Coturnix japonica: one gene and its partners. The protein of the gene in region 1 interacts with the protein of each later gene in a pairwise test. Links are inferred from orthologs where the notes say so. Each region holds a gene or a part of one and is shown on either strand. Other genes may lie near its edges. The genes, in order: DBNL, SH3BP2 and SH2D4A.

Region 1 (4,264 bases):
CCAATTTGGGGTGTTTGAAGGCAGCCCCTCACATGGAGGATGGGGGGGGTCCCATGGTGTCCCACGGTCCCACTGTCCCCAGGGGTCCCAATAGTGGTTGGGGCTCCTGGGGTGGCTGGAGGACTCGGGGTGCTCAGGGGTCCCATGGCATCCACAGGTCCTGGGGCCGTGCCAGGCTGTCCGGGGGTCCCGGGGCCAAATGGAGGCTGGGGGGCTCCCAGGGGTCCCAGAGTGGCCGGGGGTGCCCAGGGGGTCCCATGTCATCTGGGGGGGGGGGGCTGGGTTGCCCGAGGGTCCCAGTGTCCCCATGGTGTATCCAGGGCTGCCTGGGAGCCCCGTGGTGCCTGTGGGGGGGGGCGTGGGGTCTGAAGCTCCTGGTGTCTGGGGGTCCCGGGGTGTCTGGGGGTCCCGTGGGTGGCTCAAGGTGTTCGGAGTTGCCCCATGTCATCATGGGGGGGGGCAGCAGGGTGCCCCATGGACACACTGTACACGGGGGTCCCACGGCGGCTGGGGGAGCCCGTGTCCCAACGCCCCGCGGTGTCCGTGGGACGCAGGAGGGGACACGGGTGGGGGGTGGGTTGGGGGGGGGGGTGACAATCGCGCCATGCCCGTGTCCCCCCCCCTCAGGGGGGCGAATGAGCAGCGCGCGCCCGCGGCCATGGGGGCGGGGCTTCCGTGGGGGGCGTGGTCTATCGGGGGCGTGGCCAACGGCGGGGGCGTCCCCGGATGGGCGGGGCTCGGGGGCGGGCCTTGTATGGGGCGGGGGCGGGGCGTGGCGGACCGCTGCGCGCTGCCATGGCGGCTGAGACCTCAGCAAGCGAAACGGGCGGGCGCTGCAGGTAAGGCCTACCGGTAGAAGTGGTGGCGGACCGCAGCAACACCGCACCTGATGGGCGGGGGGAAGAGCGGGGGGGGCAGGGGGAGGCGGGGGGCCTGGGGGGTCGACGGGAGGGAAAGTGGAAGGAGGATGTGGGTGGGTGGGGTGTAGGGGGGTGATGGGGGGGTGATGGTGATGTGGGCTTTTGGGGGATGGAGGTGGTACGTGGTGTGGGTGGGTGCCTGTGTTGGTTCGGGCTAGAGCGTGGGGCGGGGCATCAGAAAGATGCGTGGTGGGTTTCTCTAAGTTCGGGTGGAGGCGCAACGGTCCCACGTGGGTCGCCGGCAGGGGGGAGCCCGCTGGTAGGTCGCCGTGGCTGCCGTCGGTGCCGGGGTGAGGATGCCCGAGCTGTTGAGTCGGGGGGGCAGCGGGCGGGGCATGGGGCTGCTGGGTTGTGGTAGTGCCTGGGGGCTTGGGCTGCGGGACGGGGGTTGGCGGGTATGCGGGTGCCGCGCTGGTGGGCTGTGGGGCTGTGGGGTGGGGGGGGTTTAGTGCATGAGGCTCAATGGATGCCCGGGAGCTGGGGCTCGGTATCGGTGGGTGCAGCGCTTTGGGGCTGGGGACGTGACTCTGCCCCCCCCGAACCCACAGGGCTCTGTTCACCTATGAAGGCAACAGCAACGACCTGCGCGTGGCCGGCACCGGGGGTGAGTTGTGCCCCAGCTCTGGGCGCCTTATTACAAATGGGGAAGTGATGCCGGCACGTTCCGCCCACCCCTCCCGCTCTGCCCCATAACCCCTTTCGGTTGCCAATGGAGGCTGAAGGCCCATTCCTGCTGTGAGGGGGTCTGGGTTTGGGGCTGGCCGTTGTGGTGCTGCTGCCTTTTGCTTTGGGGGCGTTTATGAGGAAGGGTTTGGGGGTGGGAGTGTGTTCTGTGGGTTTCCTCATTCCTGAGTGGTTCCCGTGCACGTGCTGCTGGGGATGCCGGGAGTTGTGGGCTCCCTGGGGGCAGCCAGGATGTGGTCGGTGTCCCCTGGCCCAGCCCCGCTCCTGTCCCGGCACAGAGGGCGGCCTGGAGGAGATGGTGGAGGAGCTGAACAGCGGCAAGGTGATGTACGCCTTCTGCAGGGTGAAGGACCCCAACTCTGGCCTGCCCAAATACGTCCTCGTCAACTGGGTGAGCTGGGATGGGGATGTGGGACATCCCAAAGCAAAGGGTTGGGAAAGAGCTGCTGGGGAGGGGCTCGTGGTGCCACTGCTCTTCCATTGCTGTTCCATTGCCTCTTCCATTGCTGTTCCATTGGTACTCTGTTGGTTTTCCATTGCTGTTCTGTTGGTTTGCCATTGATTCTCCATGCAGACGGGTGAGGGTGTCAATGATGTGCGGAAAGGAGCGTGTGCCAACCATGTCAGCACCGTTGCCAGCTTCCTGAAGGTTTGCTCGGCTCTGCTGTCCCCATTCTTTCCCTGTGGAAGCCACCTCGGTGCTACCCCGAGCCTGATGTCCCCGTGCAGGGTGCCCACGTCACCATCAATGCTCGAGCGGAGGAGGATGTGGAGCCCGAGCTCATCATGCAGAAGGTGGCCAAAGCCTCGGGGGCCAACTACAGCTTCCATAAGGAGAGCAGCCGCTTCCAGGATGCCGGGCCACAGGGCCCCGTGGTGAGTCTGGGTTTGGGGCACTGCTGGGGTGACAGCACCGAGTATGGGAGATGGGTCGGTGCTGGTGTTGGTACCGTGGGATGGGGCTGGGGAAGTGAGGTCCCATCCCACCCAACCGTGCTGCGATCCCTCACAACGGCAGCACAAAGCAGCGGGGTCAGCGTGTTTCTGCAGGGAATGCAGGAAGGTCATTTGTGCAGCGCTCTGACCCCCCCTGCCCACCCCACACAGGGCTCCGTCTACCAGAAAACCAACGCCATGTCAGAAATCAAGCGGGTCAACAAGGACCACTTCTGGGCCAAGGCTGAGGTGAGGGCTGCAGTGCAGCAGTGCAGCTGCATGGCAGCGCAGTGGGGCTGAGATGGGGTGAGGGCTGCAGTGCAGCAGTGCAGGCTGCATGGCAGCGCAGTGGGGCTGAGGTGGTGTGTGCACCCAACAGAAGGATGAGGAGAACCGGCGCCTGGAGGAGAAGCGGCGCATGGAGGAGGAGCGGCAGCGGCTGGAACGTGAACGACGCGAGAGGGAACTGCAGGAGGCAGCAGGGAGGGAGCAGAGGTTCCAGGCGCGCTCCAGCCAGATCGAGGCCCAGAAGTGAGTCCTCAGCACCGCCAGCCCCTTGTGACCCCGTCACCCTCTGTCATCTTCTGTCCCCTTTGTCACCCTCCATCTCCCTGCAGGAGGCTGCAGCAGGAGGCAGAGAGGCAGGAGCATCAGCAGTGGGTGAGCCTCGTGCTGTCCCTGGGGTGTTTGGGTGCAGATGCCCCCTTTGCTCATTCCCTGGGTCCACATGGTGGGGCCATCGCTTTCCTCTCTGGTGCCACAGAAGGAGCAGCAGGCAGAGGAGCACGAGGCCGGGCAGCGCCGCAGCGTCCGAAGGAGTGAATCAGTGGAGAAAGCCCAGGTGAGAGCACAGCCCCACAGCCCTACAGCCCCACAGCCCCACAGCCCCACAGCCCCACAGCCCCACAGCCCCACAGCTGGGGGTTCACCCACTGGACTCTCCCCCCACCCTGAGCTCTGCTCTACACGCAGGAGGCAGCGTCACTGATTGCACAGCGCCCAGGGAACCCGCGGGACATCTTTGTGCAGAGGGAGCAGGCGGCACCTGGTGATGCTGCGGCTGCTGCACAGCCAGGTGAGGGTCTCAGGGTGGGGGGAGAATGTGGGCACCCAGTCCCAGGCAGGGGAGGATCTGCAGACCCCCCTGAACTCCCCCTCTTCTCTTGCAGGCAAACTGCGCAGCCCATTCCTGCAGCGGGAGCCGGACTCGGTGCCCACCCCCACCCCCACCGTCCTGGACCCATCACCGGTGCTGGCTGCAGGTGTGTGCTGTGCGCCCACCTGGGACCTGGGCTCCTCCTGGAGACCCCCGACCCACCTGGACGTGGTGCTGGGTGGGGGCACAGAGGCTCAGAGCTGCCCACAGTCCTGCCATGACTCCATGACCCCCCACCCCCCTGGCAGCACGGTGCTGTGGGGCCGCACTCACCGCTAGATGCTGCTGTTGGCCAAGCTCCGGCGCAGCCCTTCCCATTAGCGTTGCTATCTGCGGTATTTTAGGCAATGATTCACACTGGGCACGAGCTCCCCCCTTCCCCCGCACCCCCCCAAACAGGAAACACCACTCAGGGCTCTGTAACCCCACTGCTATGGGGGGAGCACTATGAGTGAGCTGCCGCCATTCCCCCCGCAGGGCACAATGTGAGCCCAATGGGGACCCACACGGATGGGGAGAACGTGTATGAGGACGCAGCTGACAGCGCAGCCATCTATGAGGAACCCCC
Region 2 (3,648 bases), on another chromosome or scaffold:
TCAGTTCTTCTTTCATCCCACCCCTAAAATAAAGATCCTGGGGATATTTTGTTTTGACAGCTTTCTCCCAGCAGCAGGATGCAGAGCAGCAGTTAGTGTCCTTCTAGGATTGCTTTGTATGCTCAAAATAAAACAAAATAAAAACCAATCTGCTTGGGAATAGATTCAAAGTGTTGCTTTAAGAGAGCTATTTCAAATGTTTCAATCTGGAATACCAGATTATACACACATACCCTGTGTGTCAGGAACTGCAGCCCCAGCCTACATATGAGAATAGGAAGTGGGAAAAGTTACAGTGGAATCCAGAAAATACCCATAGTTAAACTGAAGGGAAAGCTCTGTGTTTTAGGTGGAATATGTACTTGCCTGCAGGGAGTTCAGCCACACCTCCTTGATTCGCTCAGGTGGATGGGGAAGTTTGAAGGTTTGGTTTCAGAACTGTTTTATTGTAAATCTGCAAAGATAAGGAATGATCCTTGAGAAGAGGAAGCAGAACCTGATACTTTGTTGTCCTTCCTTTTGGTTAAGTCCTGTACTGTCTGCGCTGTAGAACTGGATTCTTTACCCGCTTGTTTCTCTGTTCCCATGCAATGTTTTTGTTGTCTTCCAGCTATTGTGGCTTTCCAGCAGCTATCCATGTAGAGGGCTGCCATGACCTAGGCAAATACTTGTGCTTTCTGTATTTACCCAGGGAGGGATACCCTTGTCCCCAGTGTTTGCCGTTGCCTTCCTAGAATCTCAGCTTGTGGTTGTTTTGGATCACCTCCCTGAGGTACTTAACTCTGCCTCTTCTGAAATGTTTTCAATCTAAGTCAGTCTAACACTGAGATTATTGCTTAATTCCAGTGGGGAAGTGCTGAAGTCCTTTCTTTTGCTCTTTGCTATTTAAAAACAAACCCGTGATGATCTTCAAACCGTTGGCTGGCACTGAGACTAACGCTAGAGTCAGATGAAGGAATCTGAGACCAGGGTATATCTGGCTGAATAAGAAGTTGCAACTTTTGCTTCATCTCTTTTTCTGAATATAATTAGAAACAGACTGAAATCATTTAATCGTAAATTAGTTTCAAATGTTTGAATGTCGATGTACTAGCTCTTAAGTAAAGAAATTTGCCCAAGACTTGCCTTTGTGTTCCTCGTTTCAAGGAAATAATGACTCTTAGTACTGCAGTGTAGCTTGGCGTTAGTAGCCTGCTGGTTGATGCCCTGTTACCCTCTGACTCTTCTGAAAGATGTGGAGAAATTATTTGAAGATTTCATTTTCTGTTTTGGTTTTAGATTTAATACTTTTTACTATTTTAGTAATTCTCAAGTTCTTAAATATTATAGGTCCATTTCTTGGACCTGTGTAAGGTGGTGGCAGTAACAGTGGGAACTGCGTAGGTATTTGGTGGAACATGGCATTAATAACGGATGTATGAGTGAAGACATCCTGCAGCAATCTGAGATGGATTTGATTTGCATTGTCATGTATGATGTTCAGTATAAGATTACACCCTGATGCTAGTAGTTAGAATAAAACATACAAATGTGGGAAGCATGTTATTAATCACTGCATGCGGTTGATCTGACCGTTGGTTCCCTTGCTGTACAGAAAACTACACTCAGTGCCCATGTGTGGTATGAAGCTTTAGAGAAGAAACTGATTTTCTTTCTAGTCTTGGTGTTATCATCTGAGACAGGTTTAAGATATAAATAGCCAAATAACATTTATTAAGCACTCTTCAATTTCTTTGACCGCTGTCAGTCACATTTGAGAACTGTATAAAAATAAATCGGGACTTTCTGCGCTGTGTTTTTTATACCTCACAAACTTCCTGGAACCTATGAGCACGCGTCTGTCCTGCATACTTGGCTGCTGAACCATGTTAGTTGTTTGGAAAACTTGGTTAAGGAAACAAGCTTTGTTTCTCAGTCCTCATTTCCTGAAGTAAAATCTAACTTTGAAGCTGCTCTTAATTAATTATTCTAAATTGCAGGAAGATGGCCTCAGAGGAACAAGTCTGGCCAGTCCCAATGAAGGCAATTGGAGCACAAAACCTTTTGACGATGCCTGGAGGAGTGACCAAATCGGGCTATCTTCATAAAAAGGGAGGCACTCAGCTGCAGATCTTGAAGTGTAAGTTCAGTGGAGTTTAATTTGTATTCTAGTTATTTCCAATGCCTGTTTACAACTAAGCTGTGTTTATACAACTAAGGGCAAAGATTACTGTCTTTGATAAAGGCGAAAGGAGAGTTGGCACTTAGTTTGAAAGAAAGAAGCACTTTATTACCAGCTTTATGCATGTGTATTCTGTCACCTTTAAGAAGAAAGGAGGAGATATGTTCACCCCAAATTGTAATATGTTGATCTAAATAGCTATTTGTAGCCCATGTTTGTATTCCTCTTACCTTGTTTCAGGCTGCACTCTTATGTTAGCTTGTACCTCCAGAGAAAGGTGGAGGTCAGGCTTACAGTCTGGGGTTTCTTTTGAAGAGCTTCATGTGACTGGTCAGCAGCCAGCTGCCACTCCTCTTCTTTGTGCCCTTCTATAAGGATTAATGAAATCCACTTGGCATCCTAACTTGTGTACAGCTATTATTCTAGAATTGAGGAACGTGCTGCCTTTGGATTTGTATCATACTTGCTTTTTTTCTTTATCAGGGCCATTGAGATTTGTTATTATCCATGAGGGATGCATTTACTACTTCAAGACCAGCACATCTGCATCTCCACAGGGTGCGTTTTCTTTGAATGGTTACAACAGGTGAGTGCCAGAACTTAATGCTTTAAGCCCTTGTACTTAATGGTGGTAGGAGCTACCTTTCGTTTTGAGTAGTTAATTCAGCAATGTTTGTTGTTTTGGTCAAGCACTGGTCTCACATTCTGAGAGACAAATTCCTTTCAAATTGTGTGTGTGTTTCCAGTGCTGTGCAAGCGTATACCCTTCGTTGTTTGTAATTGCTCTGCATTGGGTTTGTGTTTGTTCCTTATTTAATGTGGACTTTGCACACACAGAGATGTATTGCTTTGGGCAAAGTAAAGTTCCTGATTCAGTAACACTCGTTGGTGTCAAAATTGAATCAATTACAGGAGTAATAAAATGAGAACATACATGTGCAAAATATCTGACTCTTTACACTAGGCATTATAAATTTTAACGTTTGCTTTTTAAGTTGAAGACAAAAATAAATGGCTTTCAAGTCCATCAGAATCTCTCTGAGTGCGCATGTACTGAGCCTACAGACTGCACTCAGTATTAACCTCAGGAAATTGGTGTTGAATATGATGCTAAGAAAAGACAAGGAAGATGTAGAATGTAGAGAAATGAGCTGTTGTTGGTCCTAACCGCTGCAGTTTATTGTGTTCGTAAATGTGCTTGTTGTTCCTGCACTGCATAATGCTCTCAGACCTTTAGGATAAGGAAATCTCTCTCATTGTGGTGGGAAGGTCTTTTAACTGGCCGCCACAGCAGGGTATCTGCTAGGAATGCTGCTATAACATGGCCATGATACCAGCTTCTGTAATCATGATATTATGAAAAATGCTATGGATTTTGTAATTCGTGGGAACTCTTATTGCTTTTTACTTAACTGCGTATCTGCAACCACCCTGGTTGTAGAACTGGGACCAGCTCATAGTTAATGTTATGCACAGACAGAAGCATT
Region 3 (2,899 bases), on another chromosome or scaffold:
TCTCTTTTTGCCATATGTGAAAGTCAGATTCAGTGACAAGTTTATATAACAGAACACCCTAAGCCTAAAATATGTAGTACGTCCTCTTTGATAGGTGTCCACTGAAAACCATACAATTTTGTTCATAGCTGCATTACTGTAAGCCTTCTATTTAGCATTGTTCCTATCACGCTGAACAAAAAGCAATTCTTGCCAGGATCCAAAAGCTGTCATTTGAACTTGATCCACAGATCACTGTCTTTTGTAACAGGAAAGAAGGAATCCAGAGGACAATCTCCAGTTCAGCTGAAGAAAGCATCATCAGGTGGTTCAAAGAAGAGCAATTCCCCCTTCGAGCTGGCTATCAAAAAAACACAGACACAATAGCACCTTGGTTTCATGGTGAGTCCTGAGCACTTTCGCCCCAACTCAACCTTTTAAGGAGTTGTTTCTACTACAACTACAGGGCTGCTACAACAGACTGCTCCCAGGAACTTTTTGAAGGTAGCTAGCAACATTTTCTATTTTTAATATGTACAAGAGTATGAATTTCTCTAATTGTGACAAAGTTCAAGCTAAAGTCTTGGAGTGGAAGCCAGATCTTGACTTCGCATAGCTAGCTGATAAGCCTAATATTCTGGATGTAGAACAGTTAGCACAAAGCACAGTTAGCATGACACCATGGTCTGCTACCAGCAATGGCAGTACCTTTCTTGTAATAGTGGGCCAGAAAACAAGCAGGGAATAGAAGCACTGTGAATTACTTTTAGAATGGTAAAAAAGGGTTTATTGGGAGAATTGCTCCATCTGCTCCTGCACAAATGCTTTTCTCACTTCAGTTCTGTGTTGTGGCTTTGAACAGGTATCCTAACCTCTAGAAAAGCAGAGGAGCTTCTGAGTAAAACAGTGCCGGGGAGTTTTCTGGTCCGTGTCAGTGAGAAAATCAAAGGCTACGTGCTTTCCTATCAGTCTGCAGAGGGATGTAAACACTTCCTTATTGATGCCTCCAGCGATTCCTACAGCTTCCTTGGAGTGGACCAGCTACAACATTCAACACTGGCTGACCTTGTTGACTACCACAAGGTGAAGTTCCAGCAATTAACTCATTAACTACCGTTTATGTATTTGCCTCAAAGCACTTCAAAATAAGAAGCATCAGATTCAGTTGTTATAATGTAGTTAACTAGTCCCATTTTAGCTACTACTGGGTATTATATGTGCCATTCCAGAAGGGTATGTGAGACCAGTGGGGACACCCACATACATCTCAGATGTCTTAGACCTTAACTGCTCCCCCTCAAGCAGGCAGAACACCTTGTATGGGGCTCAATCACATTATTTAGCAGAACTGCTGATAAGGCAATAGATGAAAGCATTCAGACTTTTTATGATTTTCTCAGTGGTTGTGGGGTCCCAGCAAGTTCAATAAATTGAAAATAGTTCACCTCCAGCTTCAGAAAGAAAGAGAACAAGGTATATTTATAATTTCAAAACAGACAAGGTATGATATGGAGCAAGGGTAGCAAATAATGGAAGGGAAGGAAGAAGGCTGTCAAGTCCTTACAACAGTAACGCCAAGTGTTTGCTAGCACCGACTGCAGTTGCATAGGCTCCAAGTAAGAGCCTAGCATAATTTAGACACGATTAACCAAAACTGGTAGGTGAAAAAATATCTACACTCATTTGCTATGTGAAAATCTATCTGGGCTTCTTCAACCTGCTTCTTATGTAGGTTTCACAGTCCAGGTTGAACCTGTTGGAAGCAGGAGCTAGACAACTTACTGGCACCAGAGCTGGAAGATTTAAAGCCTGGCTGTAGATATCTGTATTAAAGATAGAGTCACACCCACAGTCTGCAAAGAATCCTACGGACTCTATTGCACTACAGCAGATGTATGTGGGAGCAGGGCAAACCTACCCAGATAACATGCTCCAGTGGGTTCTATTCGTCACCCACTGGATGACCACAAAAAAAAGGCAAATTCCCACCATGTATCTGCTGCTGAGATTGAGAACAGGATGGGAAACAGAAACAGTTTCCAGGGAATTCTCATTAGAAACAGGCTTGCCAAAGCAGAAGGCACATGTTCACTGCAGGGTCCAGTCCCATCCCTCTCACAAACACAACTCCCACTTGTGGGCACCCCACCTGTGCTAGTGCAAATGCAGCAAGCTTGCAGTCCCACTAACTTGCATGCCACACAATCCTTACTCCAGAAATTCCTAGGCAGGACAGCATTTCACACTGTAGAAGCTGCTTACAAGACAAGCACAGCTATTTCCAAGACCTACCAGAATCATGTCACTGGATTACTATAACAAGCACACTTTCTTGAAGGCAGAAGCCAGCCATGCAGATCTGCATCCTGAATTCCCAGGGCTCTGAGACATATCACACAGTGAGACTAATAGGTCCACACAGTCATGGAGTGGCAATATATTGTGATATTCCAGGTAAACTGACCTGTTTGAAAAGTGTTTAATTGCATTTTCTGTCAACAGGATGAACCCATCACCTCTATGGGAAAGGAGCTGTTGCTTTATCCATGTGGTCAAGAGGACCATGAACCAGATTACATCTCCCTTTTCGAGTGAGCCTCCCAGTCTCATTACGTAGCACCATGCCGTTTTCACCAAGATTGGATTTCAAACTGGAAGCTACTGATGCTTACCTGAAACTTGCCATAAGTGCCTCTATTTCAAATCCTTCACAACAAAGCAGTGGGAGAATAAGTGCTGTCACAGGCTTGTTGTCTCAACAGAGAGAAAGGATGCACCAGCCCCGCAAGCTACAAAACACCCAGATACACCATGCATGTTGTTCTGGATTAGACATTGAAGAATCAGTTGAACAGAGATTTTGCAGATTTCCTCAGGGATACCTGTGTTCAAGCTGGGTTTTGCTCTTGAATGCAAGGTT

What was found.
Region 2: the proteins of DBNL (region 1) and SH3BP2 interact in binary tests that used the Homo sapiens proteins (3 or more experiments, as listed by UniProt). The link is inferred for Coturnix japonica from reciprocal best matches to the Homo sapiens genes DBNL and SH3BP2.
Region 3: the proteins of DBNL (region 1) and SH2D4A interact in binary tests that used the Homo sapiens proteins (3 or more experiments, as listed by UniProt). The two-hybrid records come from large-scale screens. The link is inferred for Coturnix japonica from reciprocal best matches to the Homo sapiens genes DBNL and SH2D4A.

The regions. Positions count from the first base shown.
Region 1 is NC_029537.1:46,473-50,736, forward strand, and holds the start of DBNL (drebrin-like protein), read left to right. Parts: upstream 1-1,387; 5' UTR 1,388-1,482; coding exon of another isoform or gene 1,483-1,524; intron 1,525-1,882; 5' UTR 1,883-1,899; coding exon 1,900-1,995; intron 1,996-2,178; coding exon 2,179-2,253; intron 2,254-2,333; coding exon 2,334-2,480; intron 2,481-2,711; coding exon 2,712-2,789; intron 2,790-2,919; coding exon 2,920-3,071; intron 3,072-3,157; coding exon 3,158-3,200; intron 3,201-3,303; coding exon 3,304-3,381; intron 3,382-3,512; coding exon 3,513-3,615; intron 3,616-3,709; coding exon 3,710-3,802; intron 3,803-4,173; coding exon 4,174-4,264. UniProt on the Homo sapiens protein: Adapter protein that binds F-actin and DNM1, and thereby plays a role in receptor-mediated endocytosis.
Region 2 is NC_029519.1:74,767,074-74,770,721, reverse strand, and holds part of SH3BP2 (SH3 domain-binding protein 2), read left to right. Parts: intron 1-1,979; coding exon 1,980-2,119; intron 2,120-2,644; coding exon 2,645-2,747; intron 2,748-3,648. UniProt on the Homo sapiens protein: Binds differentially to the SH3 domains of certain proteins of signal transduction pathways. Binds to phosphatidylinositols; linking the hemopoietic tyrosine kinase fes to the cytoplasmic membrane in a phosphorylation dependent mechanism.
Region 3 is NC_029519.1:30,069,940-30,072,838, forward strand, and holds part of SH2D4A (SH2 domain-containing protein 4A), read left to right. Parts: intron 1-250; coding exon 251-381; intron 382-841; coding exon 842-1,062; intron 1,063-2,481; coding exon 2,482-2,574; 3' UTR 2,575-2,899. UniProt on the Homo sapiens protein: Inhibits estrogen-induced cell proliferation by competing with PLCG for binding to ESR1, blocking the effect of estrogen on PLCG and repressing estrogen-induced proliferation. May play a role in T-cell development and function.